3 linked regions of the Saccharomyces cerevisiae S288C genome follow. The gene in region 1 interacts genetically with each later gene. Each region holds a gene or a part of one and is shown in the gene's direction. Other genes may lie near its edges.

Region 1 (6,646 bases):
TTTCCTTAAATTTTTTTTATTGCACCAACTTTAGTGACCCCTTGTGAGCTCCAACATATTTGAAATCTTCTTAAATTTCTAGTCGGCAAGCAGCAAAGAATTTCAGTAGTAATCTCTACCGCGGCAATATCGATGCAAATGTAACTACCTGTAAGGATATTGTCTTCAGTGGTTTGGTATGGTTTTGTACCTTACTCAACATCACGAATAAAAAGGAAGGAATACGAATCATGATATTGATGTTTAATCTTTCACCGTCAAACAATTAACATATATAGTATATATATTCTTTTATAGAATACTGCTTGAGCTATTTTTTTACTTGACAGAATGGCGCCGCGAAGAACCCCTAAATTTTGTAGCCCTAATTTCGATCAGTTATATATAGCTATGGCACCCTCTTGAATAGCTTCATGATTGGATCTTTTTATATAGTTTCCACGTACCACGCAAAACTTGTCTCAAGTAGCCACTTTACGAGGATTTTGAACGGATTTCTAGCAGTTTCTTCACGCTGGGGCGCTGTTGCATTCTCTTATACCAAGCTCGAAGCGCCTCGCACTCTTCCGGCACTTGTAGTTTTACAATTGCAGCAAATATTAGACCAGCTATTACTGTGATGTCAGCCATTGAGAATGAATCACCAGCAACATATGGGCGTTCTCTGAGAACGGTATCAAAATAATGCATTCCATGTAGGGCTTTGTCGCGCTGGCGAAGTCCCCACTCTTTGTTTTGGTAAAGCTCGACTTCAGGCCCCAATCCAGGTGTAGCATGGTGAAAATAAACACTAACAGGGTCGAGCAGTTCCAACTCTGCGCGTTTGTTCATCATGTGGATTACGCCTTTTTCCAGCGGTGTTTTGCCGGTAAGAGTGGGTGTACCATCAAGTGCATCAATGTATTCAGTAATGGCTGTGCATTCAGCGATTAAAGTCCCGTCATCAAGTTCAAGCACTGGCACTGTGCCTGAATAGTTCTTGGCAAGAAATTCAGGCTTCTTGTGCTCTCCCTTCCAGAGGTTGATCCTCACAAATTGCACACTTGATAGCATGTTCTTCTCAGCCAAGGCAATGCGGACTCGGGCCGGATAAGGCCCTGCGGGTGTGTCATATATTATCATTTTTTGTTTCATCTTTTCACCTCCATTGTAAATCAGGAAACCTCTGCCATTCATGTATCCTTTGTAGGTACTTTATATAGAGCACCAAGTTTCTATCCTTTAGCAGGAAGCACATTATTAATCATTTGAGACGTAAACGAATGAATTAGTAAGCAGTGAAAGAAATTCGAGCACTAAGCGCGACCTAAGGGAACGGACACGGAACGGAGAAACTGAAGTATCAAATACTTCCATTTGATCAAACCACTTGTATCCACTCCCTGTTTTGCACACGGTAGTAGAAGGTCTTTTGAATATTTACTGTAAATACCGATTTCTATGTCCTTCTTGTCCGATTATAGGATTCGGGTCATTTCCAGCGCCTACTTTCCTTCTTGATTTCAAAATGTGTGGTTAACGTACTCCCAATTGCACTACTGTTCCTACAGTTCACGCGCACCTCTTTCTGATGAAAATGCAGCTGCATTAATCTGCGATCTATTGGCATCTCGCTCTTGTATCTGCCCTCCATTCGTGAAATTTTACTCTATTACCATCTTTGATCATTTTTTTGTCGCAAATGTGATACGGCATCCATCGAATTTTGCTCGTAATTGTTTGCCATTATCGCCCTTTTCATTCCGTATTATTCATCCACTCCGCTTCATAATGGGTTCCAAAAAAAGAACTATTGTACGAGCTTTTAGACTCACGAAAACATTACTTGAACAATAATTAGCGCCTGCAGAACTTGACATAATAAAATTCCATTTTCGATATCTAGCTGTCTGAAGATATGATATCTAAGTAATACGGGAAAGTTTCCGCTATTATTCTCTGTTGCAAGCTCACGTGAAAATGTGGATTCGCGAGTGGGGTGTAAGTGAGGATTGCCAAGCCTTTTGTTCGAAAACTTCTGCAGGAAGCGTTGTGTTGCAAGGATGATGCAGCATGAAATATGTGTTTTCTTTTTTTCGAGGTTCACTCCTACAGGTGATTCCTTCGAGAAATTCTGCAACCCATTGTGATATGATGCCTGGCCGAAAGATTTCTTCATTTCTTCGGAGCAGGTTCGGCCCGAAATCCTCATGATCGAGCCGAATGCCAAGAAGTAAAACACCAGGATGACTAACCAGTTATTATCATGTGTATACAGTACTTTGGTACCTTTATCAAGAAGTATACTAAAATATACCAACACCACACACATGCACATGGTAGCTGAGCGAACAGTTTCGAGATTTCAGCATTAATTTCATCTAATAAGACTTTCCGTCTGCTTTCAAGATCAACGTGCTGAACATTTTTACTCTGCTTTCATAATACTCCCATTTTAGGCTTTGATTCAAAAGCCCACTCAATGCAATACCTAAAATGATATCCTTCAAAGATATGTTTAATGAATATGCAGCCACAGCTTTGAATTCAGATTGACCTTGTGTTGCATTAAGTCAGACACCTCTAGATTTGTGTGGCTGCTCTCAAGAAAGGATGTTGAAGAAGATTTATTTACGGAAGAAATAACTGTATACGGCATTTTATTCTTTCTTAAACGAGCAAATTAAAGAATAGACGGATAGAGACTGGAGCTTTAGCATGTGTTCCGAGAAGTCCTTGACACGCGCCACGGTTGTTATGCCGCACACTACAATGATGTGTTTGAAAAAGTATATTAATGCCTATTGTCAAGATGCAATTCATCAATTCCAGCATTGAGTGATTCTTCTCTGGTGCGGTAAAACATAAATTTTAAATCTAGTACTCAACCACCACTGAACAACTATTAATCATCGTGGAAATTATTATGACGGAAATTGAATTTGGGCAACCCCTTCCCAGCAATCTAGACTATGCTGTTTCTTTTGGCATTCCTACATGGGATTCGGCAATAGGCTATGCGGAAAAGGTGCCAGAGGTAATAGGCAAAATGGCTACAGGATATCCGAGGTACTTTCCTCAACCCCCCGTCCAGAGGCTTTGTGCTTACTTTGTTAAGAAATTTGGGCGAGGTTCAGAAAACTGTCGTCCTTTTCCATCCGTTAACCTGGGTTTAAAGTGTTTCGAGTACGTAAAATCTGTCTCAGGACCTGAAAGTAAAGCTCACCTTGAAGTGGAAACAGTTACGATTAAAAACCGTGGGGCAAAAACGTCGAAAGAACCGGCGGAATTGGTGCTAACCATTGCTGCTGTCCTTGCATCGGAGGAAGAGTTCGAGACTGTGAAAGAGTATTGGAAATTAAGAGGTGAATGTGTATCTAGTCGATTGGCGTTGTCTGTCAACCAACTTCTTGACTGCGCTAATCATGGCTCAGAGCAGGTATTGCGTGAGCTAGAGGCTGGTGTTTTTGCAGCAAAGAAGGGGGAGGAGAAAGCAAAGAACCTGATAAAGGGAAGGATAGTTGAGAATCGCTTCAGGCCCTTTGGTTTGGAGAAGAAAACCCCGAATTGGGAGGGACTCAACCTCAACCCAAATGAAGACGTTTATCTTGTATCAAGTGGCATGTCTGCAATATCTACGGCTCGTAATTTACTCACCTTTTGGGAGGAGAAGAAGAATTCAGGAGATTCATTAAACAAGACCACCTCTGACCAAAAGAAAAAGCCATTATTATGTGACACTGTTGGCATCTTCGGCTTCCCTTTCAAAGATACGCAGGTCATTATGACTAAATTTGGAAAATGTAAATTTTTTGGATTTGGAAATTCTAGAGACGTTGTCGAATTACAAAAGTTTTTAGAAACAAGCAAACAACGCATTCTTGCCGTTTTCGTCGAGACACCTTCAAATCCTCTGCTGAATATGCCGGATTTGAAAAAATTGAGGAGTTTGGCCGACCAGTATGGCTTTTTTATTGTAATTGATGATACTATTGGGGGCCTTAACGTTGACATCTTGCCCTATGCTGATATAGTCAGCACGTCCCTGACTAAGCTTTTCAATGGTGCTAGTAATGTAATGGGCGGCTCTGTCGTTTTAAATCCGAAATCATCTCTGTATCCATATGCTCGTGAGTACTTCAGGAGCGCTAATTTCGAGGATTTGTTATGGTGTGAAGATGCGATAGTTTTAGAACGTAATTCCAGGGATTTTGAAGATAGAACTTTACGTGCTAATGCAAACACAGGAATATTGTTGAATGATTTGCTTTTACCCGAGGAGGGGAAAATATGCAAAAAGATTTATTATCCAACTGTTACTTCTAAGGAGACCTTTGAGAACTACGAAAGTGTACGTAATGAACGTGGTGGCTATGGATGCTTGTTCTCTGTAGCCTTTTTCAATGAGGGCGATGCAAAAGCATTCTATGACTCTTTAAAGGTATTCAAGGGACCTTCTAATGGTACTAACTTTACCTTAGCATGTCCATATGTCCATCTGGCGCACCACTCAGAATTAGAAGAAGTTTCCAAGTTTGGGGCCGACCCCAACATTATTAGAGTAAGCGTAGGTTTAGAAGATATCCAGTGGTTATTGAAAGTTTTTTCAAGTGCTTTAGATGTTGTGAAAAGCAGAGGCTCCAAACACTCATGAAGCAGATCATGAGTAGAATATCAAAAATCAAGAATTCTTTATAATCTTTATAGAATATTGTTTATAAAAGTTTTTTTCCATTCTAGCATATAATTTTTTTGGAGGAAGTCTTTTCTGGAACCTTCACATGGATCTTAATTAATGAAAGTAGACAGAGCTCATAAGATCACTAGTTGTTTATAAACTGAAGATGTTCCTTCTTATTGACTTCAACATTATATCGCTCTGAATTAGTTGATCTGTAACTTCAGAGTTTCTTTACCAGAATAAAAGCGTCACAGTTTTTCTTTAGTTTATATGTACACAGGTTGGGGTTTACTATAAACTATAAAAAAGAAGTGTTGTCGCCGCTATTTTAAGGTTTATACACAATTTTAACCAAAAAAAAGAATAAGTTGAGCAACGTTGGAACTGCCTCTGCAACGAATTCCGGCTATATACAACCTGCATCTTTGAAATTCAAATATCCAAAGTTAATGAAGAAGGATAATAATTTTCATCATTCAAAAACTTTAGATCTTCCACGGGCCTTTCCGCTTGTGGAGTAATCCTGAACGCATGTCTGTGAATTGGTTCTTCCCAATCAATCACTGCTGAATGTTGAACTCTGCGGTTATCCCAAATGACGACGGAATGAGGTTCCCATTTGGCTCTTAACTGTAAATCATGGCTGCTCTCCACTAGATTGTACAAGAAATTCAAAAGTGATTCAGATTCTTGTCTTTTCAATTCGACTATTTTCCTAGAAAATGCACGATTGACATACAAGCATTTCTTTTTCAAGACAGGATGAACTCTGACCAGTGGATGAATATGCGTGACAGGTGCTCTTCTTTTTATGCCGCCCTGGCGCTGTGAATTCTCTGCCTGTTCCTTTGAGCTATGGATGACATGAAGCGTGCTCAAGAAATCTTGCAAAGGCTTCGACAACCTGTCGAAAGCCTCGATCGTATCCGCAAATAACGTATCTCCACCACCATCAGGACCTTCAACAACACTAAAGAAAGTATAAGAAGGTGGCTGTAACTCGTAAGAGACGTCTGTGTGCCAGCCACCAGATGATGTCGAGTCATCAAAAACTCTTGCAAATTCTTCCGCATCAGGTCTTCGGAAAGTGATATGCAGCTCAGGATTGTTTTGAGGGTGGCCACTAGTTTGATGAATGTGCAACTTGCCAAAATGTCTTCCGTATTCAGTCACATAATCGGGTCCCTCGTCAGCAAAATTCTGATTTCTAAAGACAACTACTCCCTTTTGGGCGACAAGCAAAGCGAGTTCATCTTTTGCAGCATCAGAAAGATCAGTTAGCTGGATCCCATTGATCTCGAGACCTAATTTCGGGGTGATCTTCTTCACCTTTAGTTGACCAACGTTTTCTTTTGCAAAAAGGTTTGAAAAGTTACCGTCAGCTCTCAAAGCAGGATCATGGTATTCGTGAAATTCCAGCGGGCCATACTTTTCAGTAGGATCCCATGTAGGCAAATAATCTGGATACTTCGATTTCTCTCTATAAGATTTACGGATTTTCAATAAACCAGATGGAGAGACCTCATCTTGGCCATCATAAAAATGGGTATCAAAATTCCCGTAACCTTGCTTGGAGGTATAATTCAGGTTTTTCAACCCATTTGTAATGATTTTGACTGGTAAATCGGTAGATGGAAGAGGGATTGCTGTTTGAGCTGCTGCAGGAGACATATTTTAACTGGGTTACTGTGCTATGTTTGTACAAGTATGAAAGGGCCGATTATACAGCAATAGTACACCTTTTTATATGTTTCTGTCATCAAGAACTGTTACTGACTCCTTAACTTTTCCAGCATTCTTGTTGTATTGCCTACATACCTTCTTTATGTTAGTAGTATGATAAATAAACTCCATGTGCCCTGTGGCGCCAAATAAGAAATCGACTCAAGCCACATTGAGGCTTTTGTCATCATTCCCCTATATACTAATATAGCACCTTTCCAAGGGCCAAGAGCTCGTCCAATGAGACGCATGAGTTGGGTATTT
Region 2 (4,064 bases), on another chromosome or scaffold:
GTAGAGAATCCTTGTATCGTCTAAGTAGTCTAGATGTTCAGCTGATAGATTTTCGTTGTATTGTATATATAATAATTGTCGGAAAACAAAAATACTTAATTGTAATTGTGTGACCGAAAATGCCTGATCAACAGCCATGGCACATTTGAATGGGATTTTGAGGAGACAAAAATGAAGAGGTTCTATAACCTTTGTAGAAGAACATTGACCTCTTTTCAATGAAGGTTGGTGGCATCGCCAGATGCAGAAAGGTTGTCTCATGAAATAAAAACGGACAGACCATGAAGGCTAAAGGAAAAAAATAAAATGCCATCTCCTAGAATCGAACCAGGGTTTCATCGGCCACAACGATGTGTACTAACCACTATACTAAGATGGCAAACAACTGTGAAGTTTTTGGTTACATCTGCACATCTGGTTGAATAAATATTATGTACTCTTTGCTTTTTTATGTTAAACCTACAAGTGGTGACTGTAAAGAAGCATTACAACGTAGAACTGATAAAGGGGAGAAATATGTGAGTTGTTAGATAATTGTTGGGATTCCATTGCTGCTAAAGGCTATAATATTGGTATACAGAATATACTAGAAGTTCTCCTCGAGGATATAGGAATCCACAAAAGGGAATCGATAGTTCTACATAATGTTATTATTTTATCTTCCTTCCTTTTATATGTTGTCATTCATTATCCTATTACATTATCAATCCTTGCATTTCAGCTTCCATTAGATCGGATGACTGTTTCTCAATCTTTATGTCATCTTCTCACACCGCATGTGATAATATAATATTAAATAGATGATATTAGAGTTCAATTCCAACAAAAGGGGAGTAGTTACATAAGCTTTCCGTAATGGTGAATTTATAGCAGTTTCCTTCTCGATGAAAGGAAGGGAAAGAATTAAATATACTCGAATGCTTGTACCACTCCATTTCCCCATTTATCACATTTAAAGTTACGAGTAAAAAAGTGACCGATATAGAATGTCTGATGAAAGAGCAAATGAAAGAAACATCAAGAAAGCATATTGAAATTAGCAAGTGAAAGCAAAAAAAGTAGATGAGTAAGCATTATAATGCGTCCAGTCTGACTTTTTTGTTGGAATAAAAATCAACTATCATCTACTAACTAGTATTTACGTTGCTAGTATATTATCATATACGGTGTTAGAAGCTGGCGCAAATGATGAGAAATAGTCATCTAAATTAGTGGAAGCTGAAACGCAAGGATTGATAATGTAATAGGATCAATGAATGTTAACATATAAAACGATGATAATAATATTTATAGAATTGTGTAGAATTACAGATTCCCTTTTATGGATTCCTAAATCCTTGAGGAGAACTTCTAGTATATCTACATACCTAATATTATAGCCTTAATCACAATGGAATCCCAACAATTACATCAGAATCCACTGAGTCTTCATTTTTTCCTATTTTTTGAATTAATTTTTGTTCGTATCCATTGGGCTGGCGAGCAAGTCCATCAAATAAAAAGGCGCGTAATTCGCTTCGTTTCGTGTCTTCGAAAATGAAGACCAGTTTTCCTCCTTAAAAGTACTTTAATTCGGAGAGCCGATTATATAAAGTGAAAGACTTAGTACTTCGTTAGCTCATATCGTTTTCTTATTTTGAAATAGGTTATCTATAGAATACTTTATCAAGTTATCAGGTTCTTTCCGGAAAAACATCTCATAAATCATCCCTGGAAAAATGTCTAGTCAAACAGAAAGAACTTTTATTGCGGTAAAACCAGATGGTGTCCAGAGGGGCTTAGTATCTCAAATTCTATCTCGTTTTGAAAAAAAAGGTTACAAACTAGTTGCTATTAAATTAGTTAAAGCGGATGATAAATTACTAGAGCAACATTACGCAGAGCATGTTGGTAAACCATTTTTCCCAAAGATGGTATCCTTTATGAAGTCTGGTCCCATTTTGGCCACGGTCTGGGAGGGAAAAGATGTGGTTAGACAAGGAAGAACTATTCTTGGTGCTACTAATCCTTTGGGCAGTGCACCAGGTACCATTAGAGGTGATTTCGGTATTGACCTAGGCAGAAACGTCTGTCACGGCAGTGATTCTGTTGATAGCGCTGAACGTGAAATCAATTTGTGGTTTAAGAAGGAAGAGTTAGTTGATTGGGAATCTAATCAAGCTAAGTGGATTTATGAATGAATAACTTATGGCATGGGAGGGTACATATGAGCGCCTTTTTTTTCTCGCTTTGGGCAGCTCATATCATGTTCCCTCACTAGCTAATAATATAATGAATTTTTTAGAAGGAGCACGATTATATAAAAAAAATACCACTTATGTTGCTACCCTTATATACGAATTTATAATACTTAATGACGCTTCAATGACGCCTGATGTCAAATGCTTTTGGCTCCCAGTGAAATTGCCACACTTCCTTCTTCTTTCCGAACTTTATAGTATCATCGAAAAATACAAGTTGGCAAAGGTCTATTACAATCGCGGAACGTACGATGTTCATACGGTTTCAGCGAATAGTCTTGTAATATCCGGAAGCATGCCTACCGGCATTATTATAGGTAGTTCATCGCCCTTGGACTATGTAGGGGTACAAGTAAATAGGCAACTTGAAATGGATCTCCCTATTGAATGAAACATTTAAGGGTGCCCAACCCTTAAGTTGATAGAGCTACTACCGTTCTTTTAGGTTTAACAGTTTCTCCAATAAATTTGGCAATATGCAGGGATCCCAAATTGAAATTTCTGGCGGAATGTATATATTAGACTTGCAGCTGAGTTTTATCGCGTACACTATTCTAGGGACTTTGGACCTAACTCTGACAACAAAAACTCAAGTAAAAAAAAGCTTACATTTTTAAATGATGAGATCTAATATTTTGAAATTATTACAACGGACAAGTAGGAGATATGTATCCTCAAAGGATTTTGAGCCTGTGATAGGGTCTAATCCTAAGAAACAAACATCTAGACTAATGGTCGGTTCTGTGGGTGTTATGATTCCAGTTCTACTTTATTTGTTTTATAAGAACGATAGCAAACATAGTGAAATTAAAAAGATATACCAAAATGAGAAAAAAATTTAAAAAGTTGTTATATAAGGGTTTTCGTATATAACACAGAATGGTAAACCGAGTCACGAAGCTCAATCTTTTTTTTTTATGTCTTTCTCTAACGTTTTTTCGTCTATATTCAAAAAAAATAAAGTTGGTAACATATAATGCATATATTCATTTGATCTAATCGCTTGCTTTTTATTTCAGTAGCATTTTCGTATTGCGTCGCGACCAGAGAAGTATGAGCACCAGAGGTAACACGTATATACATTTATACATAAATATATCTATTTAGTTTCCTTTCTTGGAAGCTTCAGCAGCTGCTACATTTCCAGGTTGATTCTTCTCATCAAAATATTTCTCCAGGTTTTTGACTTGCTTTTGTAGGCCCTCCAGAGAAATTTGCTTTTTCCTTAGTTCCTCTTGAAGTTTGGTGGAATCAGCTTCATTTGAGTCTTTCTTGCTGTTTGAGGAAGGTTTGTTCAATTTTTGCTTTTCTTGTTCGTTGATTAAGCCTTGGTATTTCACCAGTCTCTTGACAATAGACATGACAGTTGGGATACAGATAGAAAAGTACAATATGAACCCGGAAATATACATATTTCTTTGATTGTACGCTCTTGATGCTAGTGCCTGTATTGGAGTTACAGCAGATGACCCGATTGAGCCACTGTTGTCGTTGTGGTATAATGAAACACGAATTTGAGACCTTTTCCATGAATCAATAAACAACAGGCCAACAAGACAACCCGTTATAAAGATTATAGTTTTTATTTGCTGCTTCGCTGTCAATTGGTTATAGGTGCTAAAAATACCCCTACGGATCCGGAATGGCAAAGGCAAAACGAAGATGAAGAGCATTACCATCTCAACAGTGAGCAATAAAAATAATGTCGTAAAGTATAAACTCATCGCAATATTATTTATTCTTCTCGGTTTTCAGTACTTGCCACTTTGCGAAAGGATAGCAGAAAGGAGCGTTGCAATGAACGAATAGCTTTAAACCAGAAAC
Region 3 (4,876 bases), on another chromosome or scaffold:
TTTCGTTGCTTCGTCCATGGAATCCGAAGTTTGAGTGAAAATACGGGATTCTAGTTCTTCGTAGACTTGTCTTAGTAAACCTTCCAAAGTGGTGAATCTACCACCCAATGTACCTTCTTGAATATCAAGATGTAATTCAGGAATTACCATACTACAGGTCTCAGATTTCAAAATATCACGGGACAAGTCAGCTGCATCGTCACAGTATAAAGTAATCCTTCTTCCTTTGTCAGGGATGGCACCACCGGTCTTCACCTCATTAGACTTATAACCACAATGATCGCAGACCGTCGACATGATAATGACTTCTTTAAAGTGTGGGATATTTACTGGCTTCATATGAGTTTCACACTCTTGGGTACACGATGGACAAGAAGCTCTGAATGTTTGCACCTCGTTGTTAAAGTTTTCGATGTCGGTGGCGTCTGACAAAAACTGTGGGTTTGCTGAGCCAACTTTGACAGATTCAGAAGGATTTCTTTCACGGTTGGCCAATTGTTTTAATTGTTCTTGGCGACGTTGCTCCAACTGGTCTCTAGTAATAATGCCAACTTGAACGTTTTGTTCGTCGGTTCTCACGTACTGGGTATGAGACCATTTGTGTTGAGGTTCACCGGGTTTGTATTCGATCCAGGAATTTCCCGCAGGATCATCCAAAATAAATGTAATCGGAATAGTGTTGGGTTCACAATTGATGTAGGATTTAACTTTCTGTATGAAGTCATCGATCTTCTTGTAAAGAGCTTCGTCTATAGATTTTCTCATTTCCTGGTCTTGCGACAGATCGTCGATCATCTCGGATAACAAACCTTCAACTGTCGTCAATTGACCTCTCTTAGCAGGAATCTCAATGTCTAGCTCGACAAACTTACAAGTGGCAGTTTCTGACTTAATAACTTGCCTGTTAAAATCTTCACGGCACTCCACTTTCAAAACGTAACGAGAGCCCTTCTCTTGAATTTGAGAAGCGGGTTGGATCTCACAGTTCTTAAACCCACAGTGAGGACAGTCGAATGACATAATAATTATTTCTCTGAAATAAGGGATGGAAGTCAGAAGAAGTCTGGTTGTACCGTTCTTTCCACAATTCATACAAAGAGACTCTATCTCTTGCACTGGATGGCCCATGGCGTCCTGTGCGCCGGTTAACTTGACGCCGTCATTAGCTTTGTTCTGTTCGGCTATGCTTTCATCTTCGACCTCTGCAGCAGCTTCTCCTACTGGTTTAAACAAATCTTCCTTTTGTTCGCTCATTATTTTCTATCCTATTTCTTAACGGTATAGGTATAATATGTATCTCTGTGTATATATGCGACTAGCTATTGCTAACGATGCGAACCTACCCGATAACGCTATGATTTCCTTTGCGTTGAACATCATAGCATTATAAATGTGCATCTCATCGCTGAAAAATTTTCGTCAACTATAAACTTTTAGGATATTCTAGCCCTGATGGGGCTAGAATATTCTAGAAAACTCCAGAGGGTTTCGGCACAATTTATTGTAGGGTTAGTAAGGGCTTTTTTATCAAGGTGAAAAATTCACTCGATGCCTTTTTTTTTTTTTCTCGAATAGATAGATATGCAAGAAATGTAATGCTATGCAGTGCAAAACAGATGTGTAAGTGTTCTAGGATGAATTGTAATGAGAGTTGGTTTTATTTTCATTTTGCGTTTTCGTTTTCCGTCTTTTAGCTTTTGTCCAACTAACTTGTAGTATAAGCTGTCTGTAAGAATAAAACGGAAATAGAGCCAGTATGCCCAGGGATCCATTGATTGGTATTGTGGGTAAGCCATCTTCAGGGAAATCCACCACATTAAATTCTTTGACGGACGCAGGTGCGGCGGTAGGAGCATTTCCCTTTACCACGATCGAGCCAAATCAGGCAACCGGCTACTTGCAAGTTGAGTGTGCTTGCTCCAGATTTGGCAAGGAAGATCTTTGTAAACCTAACTACGGGTGGTGTAGCAAGGGTAAGAGGCATATCCCCATCAAACTGTTGGATGTGGCAGGGCTTGTGCCTGGAGCGCATTCCGGCAGAGGGCTTGGAAATAAATTCTTGGATGATTTAAGACACGCAGATGCTCTTATTCATGTGGTGGACGTTAGTGGAACCACAGATGCAGAGGGGAAGAACACAAGAGGATATGATCCATTGAACGATATAGAATGGCTGCAAGACGAAATCAGGCTTTGGGTTGAGGGGAACCTGAAGAAAAGATGGGGGTCTATTGTGCGTAAACATACAGCAACGAAATCTAGCATAGTGGACACACTTCAAGCGCAATTCGGTGGGTACGGTTCACATGCGCCCATGATCCAAAAAGCCCTGGACAGGTTGAAGGGACTACCACCTTTGGAAAAATGGGATGACGAATGGATCACTCGAGTGGTCAAGTCCTTTATGATGGAGAAATTTCCAACTGTGTTGGCACTCAACAAGATTGACCACCCTGACGCCGATAAAAATGTTTCTAAAATCATGCTAAAGTATCCTGACACCAAAGCTGTACTGACCAGTGCAGTGACGGAAGTTTTTTTGAGGAAATTGAAAAAGCAAGGTTTTATATTATACGAGGAGGGCACGGAATTTGTTGACACATTTGAGGACGAGCCAGACAAACTAAAGCCACTGGACGACAAGATCCTTAACAGAATTGAAAATATCAGAGATTTGGTCCTGTATAGATTCGGATCTACGGGTGTTGTTCAGGTTCTGCAAGCAGCAACGGACATCCTTGGTCTAATACCGGTGTACACTGTGAAGAACATCCAGACTTTTACGGGTGGCAACGGAACCAACGTATTTAGAGATTGTTTTTTGGTCAAGCGAGGAACCCCTGTTGGCAAAGTTGCCAGGTATATCATGGGTGGCGAGGTCACCATTGCAAGCATTGAAACCGTTGGCGGCGTGAGAGTCAGTGAAGAAAGTCTTGTTGAGCCCGGTAAGAATGACATACTCGGCTTCAAGATCGCTCCAAGATCAGCATAACTTGAGTGCCAGTGAATATTAAGTAATCATCAAAGTATATGTGTAATTGTTTATACTCTTAGTAAAGGATGCTCCCTACAAGGTGGCTCTTTTCTTACTAAGCGCGTTCAGTTTCCAGCCAGCCGAAAGAGGGATATCAGTATATAAGAAAGCCATTCGGGGGATGAAAAGCTGACAAGAGAATAACGAGGACCAGTTTTTATTTGTTGTCTAGCAAGAATTATACACGCACACATACACGAGAGTCTACGATATCTTTAAATAACACATCAATAATGGTCACTCAATTAAAATCCGCTTCTGAATACGACAGTGCTTTAGCATCTGGCGACAAGTTAGTCGTTGTTGACTTTTTTGCCACATGGTGTGGGCCATGTAAAATGATTGCACCAATGATTGAAAAGTTTGCAGAACAATATTCTGACGCTGCTTTTTACAAGTTGGATGTTGATGAAGTCTCAGATGTTGCTCAAAAAGCTGAAGTTTCTTCCATGCCTACCCTAATCTTCTACAAGGGCGGTAAGGAGGTTACCAGAGTCGTCGGTGCCAACCCAGCTGCTATCAAGCAAGCTATTGCTTCCAACGTATAGTTGCCGGTATATTAACGCTACGTAAAGTACATCATGTTTACCAGTTTAAATAAACAATTTTAAAAAGAAACTCTATTACATCTATCTATCATTATTTTCTTCATTGTCTATTGTATATTTCATCATCGGTGTAACCAAGAATGTATAAAATGTCAGTCATGCTCTTGGTATTCAACTTACAAGGTGCAGCTTTCTGCACCTTTGGCTTGGCGTTCCATGCGATCCCAAACCCGGCGGTAGCCATGGCTGGCAGGTCGTTACCACCGTCACCCACCATACAACTTGCTTCAACTGGAACATTGTAGTCATTACATAGTTGCAGAAGGGTTTCACTCTTGCACTGTCCGTCTACGATAGGACCCAGTGTTTTACCGGTTAATTTTCCATCAGTGTCAACTTCCAACAAGTTTGCCTTACAAAAATCTAAACCTAACTGATCCTTGATAAAACCGGCAAACTGAATAAAACCACCGCTTAAAACAGCGAGCTTGCAATTTTTTTTGTGAAGGAACTTGCATAGTTCTGGCACACCCTTGGTGACCTCTAGCTTTTGTTTTATTTCATCATATAGTGTATCGACTTGGAGGCCTTGCAATAATTTAACGCGTTCTCTTAAAGACTCTTTGAAATCAAGTTCATTGTTCATGGCTCTTTCTGTGATCTCGTGCACTTGTTCTTCAACACCAGCATAAGCGGCAATCAATTCGATGACCTCTTGGTAGATTAATGTTGAATCCATGTCAAAGACAAAGAGCTTTTTGGCTTGACGATATTCATTGTCGACAGAAACAATAACATCAACATCATTATGACTGTCAATGACGTTCGTCAGCTTATTCTTGAGGTCTTTTTGAACAATCGATCCTGCGACTTCAATGAATATATCGGTAGCTCTGGCCGATAGTTTCTTGGTACCATTGATTGATACATCTTTCGCCGAGCTTTCAGTAATTTCTTTCGCAATCTGGTCGATGGTTTCTTTTGGGAGATTTTCTCCATGAGCTATGCAGGTGATAACAAACTTTGACATTTTTTACAGCTGTCGTGCTTAATGTCTATGCTATTGGACTTGCTTGGATATGTCTATTTGTTTTTTTTTTACATAGTTTCATAGTTTCTATTTTTTATTTATCATTTTTTTTTATTTTTCACTTGAAGATCTTTCGAGATTATTAGTATTGACTCTTTCTTTCTCGGTGTAAAATAATCCTGATTCGAGAAACGTTGTCAAGACACACTAGGATCAATAACCCCGATAATCAAGTATCAGAAAGAGTAATAAAAATGTCTGCAA

The links. Genes that interact genetically often act in the same process or in processes that back each other up.
Region 2: mutations in HSU1 (region 1) and YNK1 together harm fitness more than expected from each alone (negative genetic interaction), as found in Saccharomyces cerevisiae (one large-scale study listed by BioGRID).
Region 3: mutations in HSU1 (region 1) and YGR210C together harm fitness more than expected from each alone (negative genetic interaction), as found in Saccharomyces cerevisiae (one large-scale study listed by BioGRID).

What each region holds. Positions count from the first base shown.
Region 1 is NC_001144.5:20,664-27,309, forward strand, and holds HSU1 (cystathionine gamma-synthase), read left to right. Parts: upstream 1-2,905; coding exon 2,906-4,633; downstream 4,634-6,646. Other genes in the region: glutathione transferase GTT2, read right to left, coding at 475-1,176; JLP1 (sulfonate dioxygenase), read right to left, coding at 5,093-6,331. UniProt on the Saccharomyces cerevisiae protein: Plays a role in inorganic sulfur assimilation during sulfur-limited conditions; catalyzes the conversion of O-acetyl-L-homoserine (OAH) into homocysteine in the methionine biosynthesis pathway.
Region 2 is NC_001143.9:313,094-317,157, forward strand, and holds YNK1 (nucleoside diphosphate kinase), read left to right. Parts: upstream 1-1,718; coding exon 1,719-2,180; downstream 2,181-4,064. Other genes in the region: DPC7 (Dpc7p), read left to right, coding at 2,861-3,082; YET1 (Yet1p), read right to left, coding at 3,344-3,964. UniProt on the Saccharomyces cerevisiae protein: Major role in the synthesis of nucleoside triphosphates other than ATP. The ATP gamma phosphate is transferred to the NDP beta phosphate via a ping-pong mechanism, using a phosphorylated active-site intermediate.
Region 3 is NC_001139.9:911,619-916,494, reverse strand, and holds YGR210C (uncharacterized protein), read left to right. Parts: upstream 1-1,756; coding exon 1,757-2,992; downstream 2,993-4,876. Other genes in the region: zinc finger-containing protein ZPR1, read right to left, coding at 1-1,254; thioredoxin TRX2, read left to right, coding at 3,268-3,582; SER2 (phosphoserine phosphatase), read right to left, coding at 3,683-4,612; CIR1 (Cir1p), read left to right, coding at 4,867-4,876.